Linked DNA regions of Drosophila melanogaster. The protein of the gene in region 1 purifies or fractionates together with the protein of each later gene. This does not show direct contact. Each region holds a gene or a part of one and is shown on either strand. Other genes may lie near its edges.

Evidence for each region.
Region 2: the proteins of Rad23 (region 1) and RpS27A purify together in Drosophila melanogaster (affinity purification with western blotting, with the first as the bait; one study listed by BioGRID). This does not show direct contact.
Region 3: the proteins of Rad23 (region 1) and Rpn9 purify together in Drosophila melanogaster (affinity purification with western blotting, with the first as the bait; one study listed by BioGRID). This does not show direct contact.
Region 4: the proteins of Rad23 (region 1) and Rpt3 purify together in Drosophila melanogaster (affinity purification with western blotting, with the first as the bait; one study listed by BioGRID). This does not show direct contact.

What each region holds. Positions count from the first base shown.
Region 1 is NC_004353.4:306,200-311,356, forward strand, and holds Rad23 (Rad23), read left to right. Parts: upstream 1-1,893; 5' UTR 1,894-2,024; coding exon 2,025-2,090; intron 2,091-2,213; exon of another isoform or gene 2,214-2,231; coding exon 2,232-2,880; intron 2,881-3,339; coding exon 3,340-3,434; intron 3,435-3,494; coding exon 3,495-3,818; intron 3,819-3,879; coding exon 3,880-3,990; 3' UTR 3,991-4,623; downstream 4,624-5,157.
Region 2 is NT_033779.5:10,406,614-10,410,991, forward strand, and holds RpS27A (ribosomal protein S27A), read left to right. Parts: upstream 1-1,738; 5' UTR 1,739-1,773; exon of another isoform or gene 1,774-2,008; intron 2,009-2,125; exon of another isoform or gene 2,126-2,153; coding exon of another isoform or gene 2,154-2,933; exon of another isoform or gene 2,934-2,997; intron 2,998-3,097; 5' UTR 3,098-3,117; coding exon 3,118-3,438; intron 3,439-3,627; coding exon 3,628-3,777; 3' UTR 3,778-3,843; downstream 3,844-4,378. Other genes in the region: Ir31a (ionotropic receptor 31a), read left to right, coding at 1-689, 751-1,037, 1,233-1,372, 1,433-1,515; Ip259 (intronic protein 259), read left to right, coding at 2,154-2,933; CG5355 (uncharacterized protein), read right to left, coding at 4,024-4,378.
Region 3 is NT_033777.3:23,730,870-23,735,267, forward strand, and holds Rpn9 (regulatory particle non-ATPase 9), read right to left. Parts: upstream 2,594-4,398; 5' UTR 2,383-2,593; intron 2,143-2,382; exon of another isoform or gene 2,042-2,142; 5' UTR 2,037-2,041; coding exon 1,927-2,036; intron 1,872-1,926; coding exon 1,758-1,871; intron 1,705-1,757; coding exon 1,174-1,704; intron 1,113-1,173; coding exon 719-1,112; 3' UTR 506-718; downstream 1-505. Other genes in the region: CG10365 (uncharacterized protein), read left to right, coding at 1-361.
Region 4 is NC_004354.4:11,123,248-11,127,326, forward strand, and holds Rpt3 (regulatory particle triple-A ATPase 3), read left to right. Parts: upstream 1-1,853; 5' UTR 1,854-2,065; coding exon 2,066-2,101; intron 2,102-2,175; coding exon 2,176-2,259; intron 2,260-2,317; coding exon 2,318-3,439; 3' UTR 3,440-3,538; downstream 3,539-4,079. Other genes in the region: CG11122 (uncharacterized protein), read right to left, coding at 1-351; SrpRalpha (signal recognition particle receptor alpha), read right to left, coding at 3,728-4,079.

The DNA.
Region 1 (5,157 bases):
AATGAAATTAATTCACATGAATACACTTATTTATTATTATTAATTGATAAGTGGAAAAACAATGCATTCGTGTATTTTTTGTATTATTCTTTGCAAATGTCTAATGCACAAGATTATTATTACAATTAAAAATCTTCAACAGCAAATTTTTATTTTTTGTTTTTATGGTATATACAATTATTTAGAATTAACACATTTGTCATTTTTGAAATTGTATCTTTTAAAATTCTCGATATTTACTACATTTAAACACCCCACTGATGATACAGCAATAGTTATCTTAATTTCGAAATTTTCGTTAATCTTATATGAACTCAAATCATATATGTTCACAAGACAGAAGATAAGCATTGATGTATATCTTTTGAAAGGAATACGGTATTACCAAAGACACTAGAATAACAAGATGCGTAACGGCCATACATTGGTTTGCCCAAAGACCCTAGAATAACAAGATGCGTAACGCCATACGATTTTTTGGCACACGATTTTTTGGCCGTGGCTCTAGAGGTGGCTCCAGGCTCTCTCGAATTTTTGTTTGAGAGCGAGAGAGCGAAGAGCGCTACAGCGAACAGCTCTTTTCAACGCACAAAGTGGTAGGAGACATCTGTATGTGTGCACACGTATGCTCATGCATTGTAAATTTGACAAAATATGCCCTTCACCTCAGAAGTTTTTAGACTTTAAATCTATATTATTTTTGATCAATTGGCACCATGCGAAAAATTCTTGTTTTGCATTGCCTTAACGTTATTATTATTTGAAAATATATCAGAAATAGCCAAATCTATGTACATATTATCACAAAAATAAATTTCAAAAATGACTTTATATAAGAATATTTGTCATTAGAGTATTCATCTTGCGGCGTGTGAAAAATTAATAAGGCAATGATTGTTGAGTGCTTGTGTCCGCACTTCGTGCCTCAAGATATGAACAAAGCATTAGAATTATTCTAGTATATTACTTTGATATTACTTTTGCAATAAACAGTTATCATATTTAATTATTTAGTATATTTATTAAATCATTTGACTTAATATGATGTAACATTAACATTAAAAGTGTTTTAAAAAAATAATTTCTCTTTTAAAAAATTGTCAGATGAGAGACAAATTAGAATTAAACATAAATATAAATGTGTAAACGGTAGCTAATTCGAGCGGCGATTTTAACAAACAAATTTAAAAAGCTTTAAAATTATAATAGTCAGGGCGCGAATTTTTAAAAATTTTTTTATTTTATCATATTGCTAGGAAATTGGCAAAAACTACCCTAATATGTACCATGTAAATTCGTTTCTTCGATCAGAATTGATTTCGGCCCGAAAATCGTCTTCTAGCACAACACGCACACTTATACGCGTTCTCGTCTCTTGTTTTTACTCACACAAGCAATCAAATTATATTTTTAGATTTCTTACGCTCTCAGCGGGAGTGAGCGGAAAGAGAGTAATTTTGGCAGTCACCAAAGAAGTGGCTGCATAGTGCCAAACCAATGTATGGCCGTTACGCATCTTGTTATTCTAGTGTCTTTGGTTAAACTAAAGTATTTTTAAAGAAATACCGAACTACTTAAACGGAATTAAAAATTAAATTTCTTTGAAATTTATTGATCATCAACCGATGGTATATTATAAATAGACTTATATACTACAGGTATAACCTGTATATAGTATGATCTAAATCGTTGATATAATGAAATACTAACTACAGTCAAACCACGGACAATTGTTTATTTGTTACGTTCATTATGACTTCAATATTTCATATTTCATTATAAATTTCATTACAAATCTTTACATCTTTCTTGATGTGTGAAAATGTTATAAGGACTATTGAACTCTTTGGTTTGTGCTGCGATTTTGTGTCTTTTAAGCGAGAAGGTATAATTTGCCAGTCCATGTGCGGTCACACTGATGACAAATCGTTTTTATCAAGCGATATTGGGAACTAACTTTCGAGTTTGCATATGTGTATGCATATGTATATTTAATTAAGTTTTGGTTTTGTCTGATACACAAGATGATTATTACAATTAAAAATCTTCAACAGCAAACTTTTACTATTGAGTTTGCCCCGGAAAAAACGGTATGTGTACAAATAGTCAAATACTAGTATATTCACATGTATGGTATATACAATTATTGCAAATGCATATGTGTGCTTATACAGGTATTTCTTACAATTAATTTGTTGTACCATAATAAGCAGGGATTCTGATTACAAAAGGTTTTGGAACTGAAGAAGAAAATATTCGAGGAGCGCGGTCCAGAGTACGTCGCCGAAAAACAAAAACTGATCTACGCTGGCGTCATATTGACGGATGACCGCACCGTTGGTTCATACAACGTTGATGAAAAAAAGTTCATTGTGGTAATGTTGACACGCGATTCGTCTAGTTCAAATCGTAATCAACTTAGTGTAAAAGAAAGTAATAAATTGACTAGCACCGACGATTCAAAGCAATCTATGCCTTGCGAAGAAGCCAACCATACCAATTCGCCTAGTTCCACAAATACAGAAGATTCAGTTTTATCACGTGAAACCAGACCTTTATCTAGTGACGAATTGATTGGCGAGTTGGCCCAGGCTTCCTTACAATCGCGCGCTGAATCTAATTTGCTTATGGGTGACGAATACAACCAAACAGTCCTATCAATGGTGGAAATGGGTTACCCAAGAGAGCAGGTTGAACGTGCGATGGCTGCTAGTTATAACAACCCGGAAAGAGCCGTTGAATATCTCATTAATGGCATACCTGCAGAGGAAGGTACTTTTTACAATAGGCTGAATGAATCAACGAATCCTAGTCTAATCCCCTCCGGACCGCAACCTGCGTCGGCAACCTCTGCCGAGCGTTCAACAGAATCAAATTCAGGTAACTTGATGGGATTTCAATCAGCAGTCAATTTATGTATTCTTGTATGAAACGAAAATATATAATTTCTACCCAGAAGTACTAAATTTGCACACTTCAAAACATAGTGAAATTAATAAACCCGATTTGGCTCTCGCTCTTTAATGAAATTATACGGCCTTAACATAATTGCGTTAGTTTTCCTGGTCAAGAAATATTGTTGATCAAAACTTATGTTGCACATTCGTTAATAAATAATAAAAGAGTTCTCTTAGTACTGGAAATATATGCAGCTGTTAAAGATTCACTAAAATGTTTGTGAGCTCGTTGTCCCGCAGTATCATTTACATATATATGTCAACAGACACTAAAGGAGCGATAATTCACGAATTTTTGTCACTATTCTCTTCAAGGACAGGGCATCACTATATGTTTTTAGTTAATTTAATTATTATTTAATTATTTATATTTACGTTTCAGACCCCTTTGAATTTTTACGTAGCCAGCCACAGTTTCTTCAAATGCGATCTTTAATTTATCAAAACCCTCATCTTTTGCATGCAGTATTGCAGCAGGTAAGTACACTTATAATAATAATTACATGACACGTAAATGATAATTTTTTTTACGTATAGATTGGTCAGACAAACCCAGCCCTTTTACAACTTATTTCGGAGAACCAAGATGCGTTTCTCAATATGCTTAATCAACCGATTGACCGCGAATCGGAGTCAGGCGCCACCGTTCCTCCCGTTTCGAATGCGCGGATTCCTTCAACTTTGGACAATGTTGACCTCTTTTCTCCAGATTTAGAAGTAGCTACTTCAGCACAAAGATCAGCCGCGGGTACAAGTGCAGCACATCAAAGCGGTAGCGCAGCGGATAACGAAGACTTGGAACAACCTTTAGGAGTATCAACCATTCGTTTAAATCGCCAAGATAAGGACGCAATAGAACGGGTATATAGGAGTGAATAATTATATATGGACTGTCGAGTTACTTAATATATTCTTCTTCTAGCTAAAAGCTCTTGGATTCCCAGAGGCCCTTGTACTGCAAGCGTACTTCGCTTGTGAAAAGAACGAGGAACAAGCAGCTAATTTTTTGCTATCGTCTAGCTTCGATGATTAGGATGACAAAATGTAAGAAGTTATGCAAATAACACCGGAAGCGTTACATTTAAAGTTAGATGTTCTTAAATTAAATGTAAAATGTCGATCATAAAAATTCTTTTATATTCTTTTAATACCGTCGGCGTATTGTACTTGTTATTTGTTAAAAATTGCAGCCATGGGTAAAATAGAGTTACGATGTCATTTTTACTAAATATTTCACCACGACATTGTCTTCAGCATAAGACTGCAAATGTCTACAAATTTATCTGTGCCAATCCATGGTAGGGAGGCCTTGGATTAGGCCTTCACCTAATGGATGGCAAAGTATATTTCTAGTGTGTGTATTTCTAGTGTATATGCAATACACACATTAATTATTTTAAGGTCGTATTAAGCTAAAGAAGTCTTATGATTTATTCTTTCCTTATCTTGGTTGATTTATAAAATATTTTTTTGACTAGTGGGAGTCCACAATTAAGTCACTTAACACATAAAGTACTTTTTGTCGTCCTGGATGTTGGACATATGACTAAAATATATTAATCATTGTATTACATAAATTTCGTGTTTTTTTATTGTAAATAATGTCCGCAATTATGCCCTAATAAGCTGTGGCGTCTCTTTGGTGATTCCTTTCAGGATGAGTCGGAGAAATAAAACAATTTCATTAATTGCATGACATTCATAACAATTCTATAGTCGAGTGCCTCGACTATCAGATACCCTTTACTCACGAAAAAACTAATTAAAATTTTTATAAATATTTTTTATTGCTTATTTTTACAGGAATAAATGTTCTCCAGTTTTACAGTACTTAGATTATCATTAATTTACAAATATACAAAACTGTAGAACATTTGGACTTATGATACTTTTCTGCTTGCCAATTAATACGACAAATATAAAACTCGAACATTGTAATATGCATTATTAATGCAAAGAATTCTACACTTTAATATTAATAAATCTCTAATAGTTTCATGTATGGCTATGGTCCCCTCTATAATGTTGCTACAATTATAAATCTTTCCTGACTCAATGTAGATTCAAAGACACAAGAATTATTGGTAGATTTGGTAGAACGCAGGTAAGTGGAAAGAGAAGCACTCGTTAATACTTCTTTCCTTGACACGTTCCAGAACTTTAGACTGGGTCGAATTAACTTTATAAACATGGGCATACC
Region 2 (4,378 bases), on another chromosome or scaffold:
TGAGAGAACGTTTCAATTTCACTGTTAACTTCCGAAATTCTAGAGGATGGGCTGGACGTTTGGGCAATACTACCTTTCGACTTGGACTCTTGGGAATAGTTATGCGAAATGAGGCAGATATAGCCGCATCCGGTGCCTTCAATCGAATTAATCGCTTTGCTGAGTTTGATACCATACACCAAAGTTGGAAATTTGAGACAGCTTTTCTATACCGCTACACTTCCGATTTGGATACTCATGGAAAAAGTGGTAACTTTCTGTCGCCATTCAGCGACAGAGTTTGGTTGTTCTGTCTATTAACCCTTGGTGCTTTTAGCATCATTTGGGTGCTATTTGAAATTATCGACTACAAGATATTGCGTATACGAGTTAATAGTCAAAAGCTGGAACATTTAAATCAGAAAAGTTCGGTGATTTGCATTAAGACCACATGCATTGAACGAATTTTACAGACATTTGGAGCCTGCTGCCAACAGGGATTGGACCCAAATCCTGTAGATCGTTCAGTGCGCTTTTTGGTAATGACACTGTTCCTATTCTCCCTGGTTATGTACAACTATTATACGTCTTCCGTCGTGGGCGGATTGCTTAGTTCTTCAGATCAGGGTCCCTCTACAGTCGACGAAATAACTGCAAGCCCCTTGAAAATATCATTCGAAGACATTGGTTACTACAAAGTCTTATTCCGAGTAAGTTCGTTGAAAACATTATATGTATATTTATATTACCATTACTCGATTTACTTAACAGGAGAGTCAAAATCGATCTATTACAAGATTAATAGAGAAAAAGCTGTCTTCGTCAAGAAGTTTAAATGAATTGCCAATTTTTAGCCATATTGAGGATGCTGTCCCATATCTCAAAGCCGGCGGATTTGCTTTTCATTGCGAAGTGGTGGACGCTTATCCGGTGATTTCAGAATATTTTGATGCCAACGAGATCTGTGATCTGCGTGAAGTCTCCGGTCTGATGGAGGTCGAAATTTTGAATTGGATTTTACACAAGAACAGCCAGTATACCGAGATTTTCAAAACAGCGTAAGTATTGAGTCATTCGCATGGTTTTGGTTTGATTCTGTCTTTGCTTAACTGGCCAAAAAGAACTGTTTTTTTTTAACCCGGTCTTATTCCACATCAGTATATTTCCCAAACATTCCTTGGGAAGTAAGATAGTTTTATAATTATTTTATAATAGTTATATAATTGTAATAAACTCTATATTTTCTTTTGTAGTATGTGTAATGCCCAGGAAAAAGGTTTTGTAGAGCGCATTCTTCGACGGCGGCAAATTAAAAAGCCAGCCTGTCAATCATTATACACCGTTTACCCTGTAAGCTTGTCAGGAGTGCTACCTGGATTTGTTATTTTAATTTGTAAGAGTATTAACAAATTTTCCTAGAACTTAAATTTGTATACATGTTTTTATTTAATAGGCGGATTTGGAGCATCGCTTCTACTTTTGTGCTTGGAAAAAGTATATGCACATTTTGGACCACGAAAATTTTGCGGTTTTTAAATTTTTATTTTGTGTTTCCTTTATGATGATTTTTTTGATTTGTTTTATTTTATAATTTTTGTAATAAGGAAAAGTGTATTGGATATGGCTTCTGGTTCATCCCAGTTTATGTTCCATTCCACGCGTTCCAAAAATAAACGCGTAGTTCAAAATATAAACAAAAGTAAACTCCGAATGCAGCCCTGTGCTCAATTTTTCAACTTCCTGTCACGCTGTGTGTGTGTTCTTTCTTTCCTTTGATTCTGTTGCCGAAGCAAGGTAAGTTTTTGGGGTTGTTACATTTTAAGCATCGGTTAAGTGAAAATAAACATACAAATACATACTTAAAGTAGTCCTTAACACTTGTAAACTCTTACGAGTGAAATACATGACAATTGTTGATTGAACAATGAGAATGATTGCAGTGCACATGTAAAATTGACAAGCAATCAAAATTGCTAAAAGATACCCGTGAACAAAAAAAATATTGTGACATTTAAATTTATACATTAAGGTAAGTGAATTTCCGCGTGATTAGTTATCTGTGGATGGCCACAGAGGCTTCCCCAGGAAACAAATTTCGCACACCCCCAACCGTCCACATGTTAATAACCACATGAATGTATTTCAGATCTGGTCTACAGAATTAACAATTAACAATGCCGCAGAATGAGTATATGGAACGCCATCGCAAGCTGTATGGCCGGCGATTGGATTACGAGGAACGGAAACGCAAGAAGGAAGCGCGTCTTCCCAAGGACCGAGCACGAAAGGCTCGCAAGTTGCGCGGCATCAAGGCCAAACTCTTTAATAAGGAGCGACGCAATGAAAAGATTCAGATTAAGAAGAAGATCCAGGCCCACGAAGAGAAGAAGGTCAAAAAGCAGGAGGAGAAGGTCGAGGATGGAGCCCTGCCGCATTATCTGCTCGACAGAGGCATCCAGTCCAGCGCCAAGGTCCTGTCCAATATGATCAAGCAGAAGCGCAAGGAGAAGGCAGGCAAGTGGGACGTGCCCATTCCCAAAGTACGCGCTCAGTCAGATGCTGAGGTCTTCAAAGTACTAAAGACCGGAAAGACAAAGCGAAAGGCATGGAAGCGCATGGTCACAAAAGTCACATTCGTCGGTGAGAACTTCACACGCAAGCCACCAAAGTTCGAGCGTTTCATTCGACCCATGGGTCTGCGCATGAAGAAGGCTCACGTTACGCATCCAGAACTGAAAGCCACCTTCAATCTGCCCATCATTGGCGTCAAGAAGAACCCCAGCTCGCCCATGTTCACTTCCTTGGGTGTAATTACAAAGGGTACTGTGATCGAAGTCAACATCTCTGAGCTGGGTTTGGTAACGCAAACGGGAAAAGTTGTCTGGGGCAAATACGCTCAGGTCACGAACAATCCAGAAAACGATGGTGTTATCAATGCAGTGCTGCTTGTCTAACCCCGAAAATGTCGCTACCTAATTTAAGAGTTTGATTTAATAAACAAACATATACAATAACATGAACAATCGTTTGATTCTCTTAGCTTATTATACTATTAGCTGTAGCAATGCCATATATATAAACACACATATCTATACCAACATCTTTTTGTTTCTTGCAGTTTGGTGACTGGAATACAAGATGCAGATCTTCGTTAAGACCCTCACGGGCAAGACCATCACTCTTGAGGTCGAACCGTCGGATACTATCGAAAATGTCAAAGCCAAGATTCAGGACAAAGAAGGAATTCCTCCAGATCAGCAGCGTCTGATCTTCGCTGGCAAGCAGCTGGAAGATGGCCGCACCCTCTCTGACTATAACATTCAGAAGGAGTCCACTTTGCACTTGGTGCTCCGCCTGCGTGGTGGTGCCAAGAAGCGCAAGAAGAAGAACTACTCCACTCCCAAGAAAATCAAGCACAAGAGGAAGAAGGTCAAGCTAGCTGTCCTGAAATACTACAAGGTACACACAACAATCTACCGACACCATACCGAAAACATTCTGATCTGTTCTTGGAATTCTTGAGTCTTGGTCTTGTGCTCATTGGCTTAAGATTTGGATATCAGAGTGACTTTACCAGTGCCCTATATTGAATGAACATGTGTACGATCTCAGTATTTAATCACTTTCTATGCTCTTTCCTTTCCATAGGTTGACGAGAACGGCAAGATCCACCGTCTCCGTCGCGAGTGCCCTGGTGAGAACTGCGGCGCCGGCGTCTTCATGGCTGCCCACGAAGATCGTCACTACTGCGGCAAGTGCAACCTGACCTTTGTCTTCAGCAAACCAGAGGAAAAGTAATTTTGCTACATAAGATCATGTACGTTTCCAGAAATCAAATAAAGGTAGTAATTGAATAATAAATTCAATCGCTGAAATTTTCCTTTTTTTTTATTGTTAGTTAGCACTAGCGTGGTTAGTAATTGTTTAGCAAAACACTAAAGTTTCATTTAGGGTGTATGGTTTATTTGTGAAAATATTGAATACATTTTGTATACTCGATTTTTACTCGACCTTGAGAAATGCAATTTGTTTATGGTTAACCACTCAAACGTTAACTATGTCGACGTTAAGGCTTTTGGACAAGAAAGTCAGTATATCGGTGGCTTCCTCGATTCTCTTCGATGTCGGCTTGCCAGCGCCATGGCCCGCCTTCTGGTAGACGCGCAACAGAACGGGATTTTTCTGGAATTCCGAGTCGCGAACAGCTTCCTGGAGGGCCGCAATGAACTTGAGCGAATGCAAAGGGCTGACACGATCGTCGTGGTCGGCGGTCAGGATCAAAGTCGATGGGTATTCCGTTTCGGCGCCCTTCGGAGTGTGCACATTATGCAGCGGCGAGAACTTGTACAGGTTGTCAAAGTGCTCCTTCTCCGATGGGTTTCCATAATCCGAGCACCAA
Region 3 (4,398 bases), on another chromosome or scaffold:
CGAGGTACTGGTCTATGTGGCGACGCCAGAGAATATCTATTGGTTGGGCGATGACCCGGTCGAGGAGATTGCCCAGCAGATCGTATCCTGCCGCGGTCCCAGCGGACACAATGCCGAGTACCTGTTGCGCCTGGCCCTGTTCATGCACGAGGAGATTCCCGGCGTGAGGGACGATCATCTGTTCGAGCTGGAGCAATTGGTTTTAGAGGAACTGTACCGCCGCCAAATACCTCTGTCATCTGTGATGGGCCGCAATCCAGATAGGATACGCCGCGACTCGCACGAGGACATCCGCCGCCCGCCATCCTTCGAGTTCACCTCCCGTGTGCCCGACACCAAGCTGCGTTGCCTGAACATTTGATTTCTGGTGTGCTGGCGGCCAAGTGCTATGCAGGTCGCGTTTTTTGCTACAGCAAATTCCAAATTATTGATCGACATTTTAGCTTGTTAGGTAACCAGAGTCTATTGCCAAATTTGACGTATTTCTTTAAATTGTAAATAATCCTAGGCCTAATCATAAGCAGCAACTCCTCCATAAGTGATCTGATTTAGCCAATAAGCTAGGATTAAGCACAAAAAAACTTTTTACACGCAACTGTCAGGGAGTTAAATTACATATGAAAAGAAATGAATACAGTATTTGGGTTTTTAATTAAATACAAAAGCATTCGCGCAAAATGTGAATATGTGGGATCGTCTAGATCAGGCGAAACTAAAACTAATTGGTGAGGATTTCGGCGGCACGATTCTCCATCAGTTTCTCCATGTTCGTGATGGCGCCCATCCATGTGTCCAGAGTGCTGGCCATGCCGACAATCTGGCTGCGGTTGAGGACGCGTGGTTGCACCCACGACATGTTAACCACTCCAGCCACTTGGTCAATCTCGCCGCGGACGAGATCCAAAGCCAGAGCCTTCATGATAAGCAGTTCCACTTCCTTGGCGGGCAGTTTGGTCTCTTGCGCGATGTCGGTAAAGGAGATGGCTCGCTCGATGGCTGAGCGCTTGAAGGTCATCTCCATGAGGCAAAGGAGGGAGATCTTCTGGCGCAACTTGACCTCCTGGGCAGCCAAATCGGGAATCTTGGACCAGATTTTCTTCATGTCATTAAACCTGCAAAGGAATAATAGAAAGTGTTAGTTACTGCAGATATTAAATTGCTATTACTACACACTTGTTAATATCGCCCGTGTTGAAGGCTTTAAGAAGTTCCATGAGCCACTCATTTTCCGTGCCCTTAAGCGACTCAAGAATGGGATGAGCCAGCAATTCGCCTATGTTGTAGACACCATCGCCCAAGAGAGCAGCCAGACCCAAGAAGAATGCCTGCTGGGCCCATTGATCACGGGGGTACTCATCCATGGAGCAGCCCAGAAACTGTAGGCCACATCGGTAGTAATCGCTGTGCTTGCCCACTCGCCGATAATACTGGGATGCCAGCATGTAGTATTTGCCGTGAACGGGCGTCACATTACCCGCTTCCTCTAGGACATCACGCAGTTCCTCGATGATCTTCTTGGTGGCATTCAGATCGTTCAGGTTGCTGAGGTACAGATTACCCTGCATCACCTGCAGATACCAAACGGCCTCGTCGCAGATCTTCACCTTGTCCTTCATCTTCTCCAAGAACTCGATGGCCTCCTTCTTGTCACCGATGTTGTCAACCACCACCTCGAGAATCTGGATGAGGCCATAGGGGTTTATTCTGCAAATACAATACATTAGATTCTGCCGAGTCATTTGCAGAAGCCGACTCACTTGGTCTCGAAGGTGGACAGGAAATTCTGGTAGAGCTGCAGCAGCGCAGTTTCGTCCTGCAAGGATTCGTGGCGCACAAAGGTCACCAGTTTGATGGTCAGCTCATTCCAGAGTCTGTAAAATAATTGTATTACAAGAGGAAAATTGAAATTTAAAGCCCAGATCTAACTTTTCATTGTAGAGCTCCTCGATGAGCGTCCATTCGGCGGCGAGTTCTTTGTTGGTGGTCTTCTTCTGGGTCGCCAGATAGGCGGTGACATTAGGCTGAGGATTGGACATCGCAACTGCGCTTTGTGTTGAATTAATTTCAAATGTAATGTTTAATGTATTCCCAAACTACAAAAATTGCAAATCACAATCGCCGACGCAGCTGTCACATTGACAGATCGCTTGTGTGGCCGTTTGTTTTTTTTTAGCTTATTTTGGTATTTTGTATTTTTGGGCGAATTTTTATGTAAAATTTATTTATGAACTAAAAAAGGCTTACATAATAACAAATGGCTGTATTTTTTATTTTTATATCACATGGAAAGCATTATTTATGATATTATTTCAGTGCCTAGAAACTACTCGATGACTCATTCGATAACAACAGCTGCGGGGCTTGGGCTTACGTTGTACTCACCGTCTGGTCACACTAACCGAACAGCTGTTTCTGCGTGAAGTTGTGTACGCGGAAGAAACAACGTTTCAATTCGTTTTGGAGCTCGCAGCGAAACAGTTTATATTTCCGCACTCCAGGATTCCACTTGGCAGAGAGTCGCCGCGCAGCCAATTAGCCAGTTAGCCCGATCCGCGAGAATATCGATATTTAACCGGGCCACAGCAGCACTGCCAACAAAACCAAATACAACAACTCGAGTGTGCGCCCTGAACTAACTAAAAAAAAGTAAAGCTGTCGTGTGTTTTGCACATTTAACTATTTGTTAGCCAAATAAAGTAGCAATCGAATTTCGCGAACGAAAGTGCCGCAATTAGTGGTTATATAAATGTAAGCCAAACAACGCGTCGTGCAAGAAACTATGTGGATTTGTTCGCAGAAAGTTGACAAACTGAGAAGAACTAGTTAGCGACCACAACGACCGCTCCAACTGGAAACCGCACTCCGCCAAAAGAGATCCTCATTAGCATTTCTTTTGTGGATTAAGGCGCGTGTCAACTATTTGTCACCGATCTCCAAGCAAACGATCGATTCCTCGTCGAAAAGCAAGGTTAGTTCTGGGTTCTATTTTCGACTTTTTGGGGGTCACTACTCTGCCCGACGAGGTTCCCCCTTTTGGCTTCGAAATTCCAAGCAGCATGGCCCTACTGATTGGGCCAGCGGTTCCCATTGGATACGATCGCGTTCCATTGAGAACTGCATAATTGGTTGTACATTGTATCCCACTATTTGGTTAGTAGACAGTTATGCAATTGGGGCTCCCCAATCTTATCACTCAGTGGGCACCACGTCGCCGCCGTCTATTAAAAGTTCTTGGCTTGCAATGGGTGTTGGACAACTTTCTCTTTGAAAAGCAAAAGCCACTTGAGCACAGGAGCGTTGGGTAAAGAAACGATAATTAAATTACTTTCGAGCTGATAGAGAATTTGGAACTCAAAAAGCTATTGAATTGGAAGATTCAACATTTGTATGGATTTGTACATAAACGAAATATATCAACCGAATTGTACTGCATTTTACAGTATGTAAATGCCTTCTTTTTGAGTAATATTGCACAGATGTCGCCTATTTTGTGCGTCCTTCGCAGTAAAAAAAACACTTGAACCAAATCGGCCAGAGTTTACTGTAACATCCTGCTGCGCTGTCAACATTTCTTTTCATTTCCTGACGCCACTGTGCGTTTTTGGTAGAAAGAAAGTACTACTACTTTCTCGATGTAGCAGTTGATTTCCTTGGCCTGTTCCCCACTTTACCAATTTACCAAAATCGAAATGGGCGACATCTGGCAGCGACAGAAACGATGCACAACTATAATATATATATATATGGATATGTATGGTATATATGAAAACCGGCTGAAGGCGTATTACGGTTATGTGAAGAGCGGCAATTTCAAAAATCCAAAACAAATTCCGAAAAAAAAAACGCCGTCGGATGACGACTTCATCTTCATCTCCGTCCCAGACGACAGACAGCAACAGCATCTGGCTATTAAAAGCAAAAGTGAAAAATGCCACACAGTCGCCGCCGATGCAGTGGCCACAAAAACCAAACAAAAGCAAAAGAAAAAGATGTAGAAAAAACATAAACCATAAAACTGCTGCAACAAGTGAAGCAGCTTTGTCAAGTGCATTGCCGCTTCCTTGTTTTTTTTTTTTTTTTTTGTATTTTGTTGCTCACTTTTTGTTGCTGCTGCAGCCAAGTAGTAATATTATTCAATTACAGGCCAATCCAGTTGCCCCGAGTTGCGAAAGAGTTGGGTTCGGCTTGGTTTCTCGCATGTTCATATTCGATTTTTGTGCCAAGCTCTTGGGCAGGCAGCCGCGATCGAAATTATAGCAACTGCAGTCTTCTCGTCAATGTCAATAGTTAAATAGATAGATCACCCTGCAAGGCAGCTCATTCATGCGTCATTCAAGAGGTGCACAAATAAGATCCATTTAATGACTTAATACAATCTTTTATGTTTTTAGTAGCTAA
Region 4 (4,079 bases), on another chromosome or scaffold:
CAGGCCGGCGGCCTCTTCCCGCTCGCGCTCGCGCTCCCTCTCCCGTTCTCGTTCCCGTTCCTCCGTCATCTGATGCAGCTTCTCCACCAAACGGGGCAGCCGCTCCAGCGGCAGGCTGCAGATCAGCGAGAGCGGCTCTTGTTCCGCTTCCAGCTGATCCTCGTGCGGTTCCACCTCTTCCTGTTCCGCGTCCACATCCTCCTCCTGCCGGGTCTGTCGTTTTTTGCGCGGATTAGATGAGGCAGCGGCCGTGGCTGGTGCCGTTGCCGGTCCAATTGGATTCTTGCCGTTGACCTGCTCCTCCGAGAACTTGAAGCCACGGCGCAGGCCGAAGCGCGACATGGTCTTCATGTGGAGGCCACTGGGTCGTCCGTGGTTGCGTTGCACAAGTTAACTGCTTCGCCACTCCTGCAAGCAGTGCGGGGTGTGCGGACAACAATTTACTGCTGCACGCACACTGCTTCGTTCTTCCTTCTTCTTTTTGTTGACAAATAAACCGCAAGAAGAAGCAGCGAAAAACAAAAACTACTCACACACACGTACGCACACACACTCGCACGCACACCTGCTCAATTGGAAATTATACAATAAACATTTTCAACTCCTCGAATTGATCTCGCTCTGTTATCGGACACTATTGTTTTGGCCAACAGCTATATATAGCATAACTACCACTCCACTGCACAAGACCACACTGTCCACTTGGATATCCCGACTTGGTCTCTCCTGCGTATCTAAATACGTTTCGTTTTGTTTCGTTCTATTCGTTTTGTTCTGTGTTTCGGTTCGTTGTATTGCACTGTATTCCGGGATTTCACGGGATTGCTTTCCGTTTTGTTGTTTTGTTTCTTGTTTTTTTCTTGTATATTTTGTTCTTTTCGCTTGGATACGGACCAGACCAGGAGCGCCAACGGATCCGTATCAGTGCCTTGCACTTAAATTTAAGCACGGCATTGCAGCAGCTCGACCACCAGTGTAGCGCATTCAATTTTCCCTGGCCGTTCTTTCCACCCTAACAACTGCGTTAGGAGGTATCTAACGTTTAGCCCAAATCGATGCGTGCGTACGGCGCAGAGGGGGCGGCGGCGCGGCCAGAGGGGGCGGGGCACGGCAGCAGGACAACGACGACAACGACAACGATACTTTGTGGGAAACGTACTCGGAATCGGAATCGGAATCGTACTCGTACCCGTTCTCTTTCCCGTTCTGATGCTAGCGATATTGGGGAAACGATTTTTCGGCGACGGCGGCGGCATTATCAGCCATCGAATTGTGCTATATAAACAGCAAATTCGATTTCACTGTCCTACCAGCGCTCGTGTGTGTATATATTTGGTTCGTTCGCACACGCACACATAGCACACACAGAAGCAGCAGGAGCGACCGAAATGTTAAATGTGTGTGTTTTTCTACTCTTTTTTTTTCTTATGGGAAATCGAAATCGCGTCAAAATGGTCGGGTTTTGCCAGTGTGTACACACTTGTACCCGCTGGCGAGAAAGGTACTCGAACTATCGATAGTTGCGTCTCGAGCAGCGATACTTTGGCATGGTTCTACGTGAATTGCTTAGAATAACTTGCGATTTTATCAATTACTTATAAGCGATCTGCATTCGAAATAGTTTTTGTTAGTAATAAATCTGTTATCAGCTTTTGTTCCAATCAGAGCTGGTATATATCGGGCAATTATCAGACAGCTGATTTTTTCCCATCACCAGATGCTTTGAAACGTATTAAAAAATACTTTCCGGATATTAAGTGAGAAACATGACATGTGATATTAGATTTATTTGTATACAACATTTTAGCTTTACAGACTAACTGGTATAGGATATTGTCCAATAAAGAGGAGTTGCTTTCTTATCAGAAAGAGTATATATCGAAAAAAAAAACCGATTGAAAGAGCAGCACAATTTGATAGATAAATGGCCCCATCGATAGATCACAATCGATTGCGGACAGGGTTGCCACCACAACGCACTGCTGGCTTGTTTTTGACGAGTCATTTTGGTCGCCTCGCAGAAAACGCAAACTAATAAAACGAGACTCATTGCTGAACGAAAAGAATGCCGTACAACATGGACGTACTGATACCGGAAAAGGTGCGTAGTTGCCTCTCTGCGCCGCCTGGCATGCGTACTAATTACCTCTTTCCCAATTCCACTTTTTCCACCAGGACGAGCTCTCCGACTTGAAGCTAAAAGATGCGCACAGTTCCCTGGACGAACTGGACATGGAGGATCTCTACGTGCGTTACAAGGTGAGTCGTCCACTGGTCTTCCATTTGATCACCCATCTAAGCGGCCATTGTGTTGTAGAAACTGCAAAAGACACTGGAGTTCATTGAAGTGCAGGAGGAGTACATCAAGGACGAGCAGCGAAACCTGAAAAAGGAGTATCTGCACGCCCAGGAGGAGGTGAAGCGCATCCAGTCGGTGCCGCTGGTGATTGGCCAGTTCCTGGAGGCCGTCGATCAGAACACGGGCATTGTGGGCTCCACCACCGGCTCCAATTACTATGTGCGCATCCTGTCCACCATCGATCGCGAGCTGCTGAAGCCCTCCGCCTCGGTGGCCCTGCACAAGCACAGCAACGCGCTGGTGGACGTGCTGCCACCAGAGGCGGATAGCTCCATTTCGATGCTGCAGCCGGATGAGAAGCCCGACGTTAGCTATGCGGACATTGGTGGCATGGACATGCAGAAGCAGGAGATCCGCGAGGCAGTCGAACTGCCGCTGACCCACTTCGAGCTGTACAAGCAGATTGGCATCGATCCGCCGCGCGGCGTGCTTATGTACGGTCCGCCCGGTTGCGGCAAGACCATGTTGGCCAAGGCGGTGGCCCATCATACGACGGCGTCGTTCATACGCGTCGTCGGCTCGGAGTTCGTGCAGAAGTACCTCGGCGAGGGACCGCGCATGGTGCGCGACGTTTTCAGGCTGGCCAAGGAGAACGCGCCGGCCATCATCTTCATTGACGAGATCGATGCGATTGCCACGAAGCGTTTCGATGCGCAGACTGGCGCCGATCGCGAGGTGCAGCGCATTCTGCTCGAGCTGCTCAACCAGATGGACGGGTTCGATCAGACCACGAACGTTAAGGTGATCATGGCTACCAACAGGGCGGACACACTCGATCCGGCATTGCTGCGACCTGGTCGATTGGATCGTAAGATTGAGTTCCCGCTGCCCGATCGCCGGCAGAAGCGACTCGTCTTCTCCACCATCACCTCGAAGATGAACCTAAGCGAGGATGTCGATTTGGAGGAGTTTGTGGCGCGGCCGGACAAGATCTCCGGTGCCGATATCAACGCCATTTGCCAAGAGGCGGGCATGCACGCGGTGCGTGAGAATCGCTACATCGTTTTGGCCAAGGACTTCGAGAAGGGCTACAAGAACAATATCAAGAAGGACGAGCAGGAGCACGAGTTCTACAAATAGATTATATTAATTCATACACACTACTCCCGCCCCATTTTTTCCCCCAACACACTAAACTCTTCTTTGTACGCATAAAGTTATAAACATTAATAAAAAAATAAAAAAAAACAAAACAACTTGTAATCGAAGTGCCAAGCGATCCTTAATCCTAAACGAACCAACAGCCAACAGTGGGCAAAGCATTCCATTTACGCAACAACAAACTAGACAAAAGCCATATATTTGATTCGGTGAAAAGAGTGGATGCAAACAAGGAGCATTGGAAGGATAGCCGGATCGACGGCTGGCTTACTTCATCAGGGAATTGACCACGGCGTTCACATTGATGGCCTTTAGGTCGGCATACGTCTGACCCGTGCCCACGAACACAATTGGCTGGCCGGTTATGTAGGTCATGGAGATGGCGGCGCCCACCTTGTCATCGATGGTATCGAACTTGGTCAACACTATGCCGTCGATGATGTGCGGGTTCTCGTTGGATGAGTAGTCGGCCAGCGACTGATTGAACTTGACCAGCTGGTCGACGGCTTCGTTGCCCACCAGTGCCTCGCCCACGAATAGCACCAGATCCGGATTGTTCACTTTGATTAGCTTGGACAGGGAACGCATCAGCGGCTCGTTATCCTGCATGCGTCCGGCG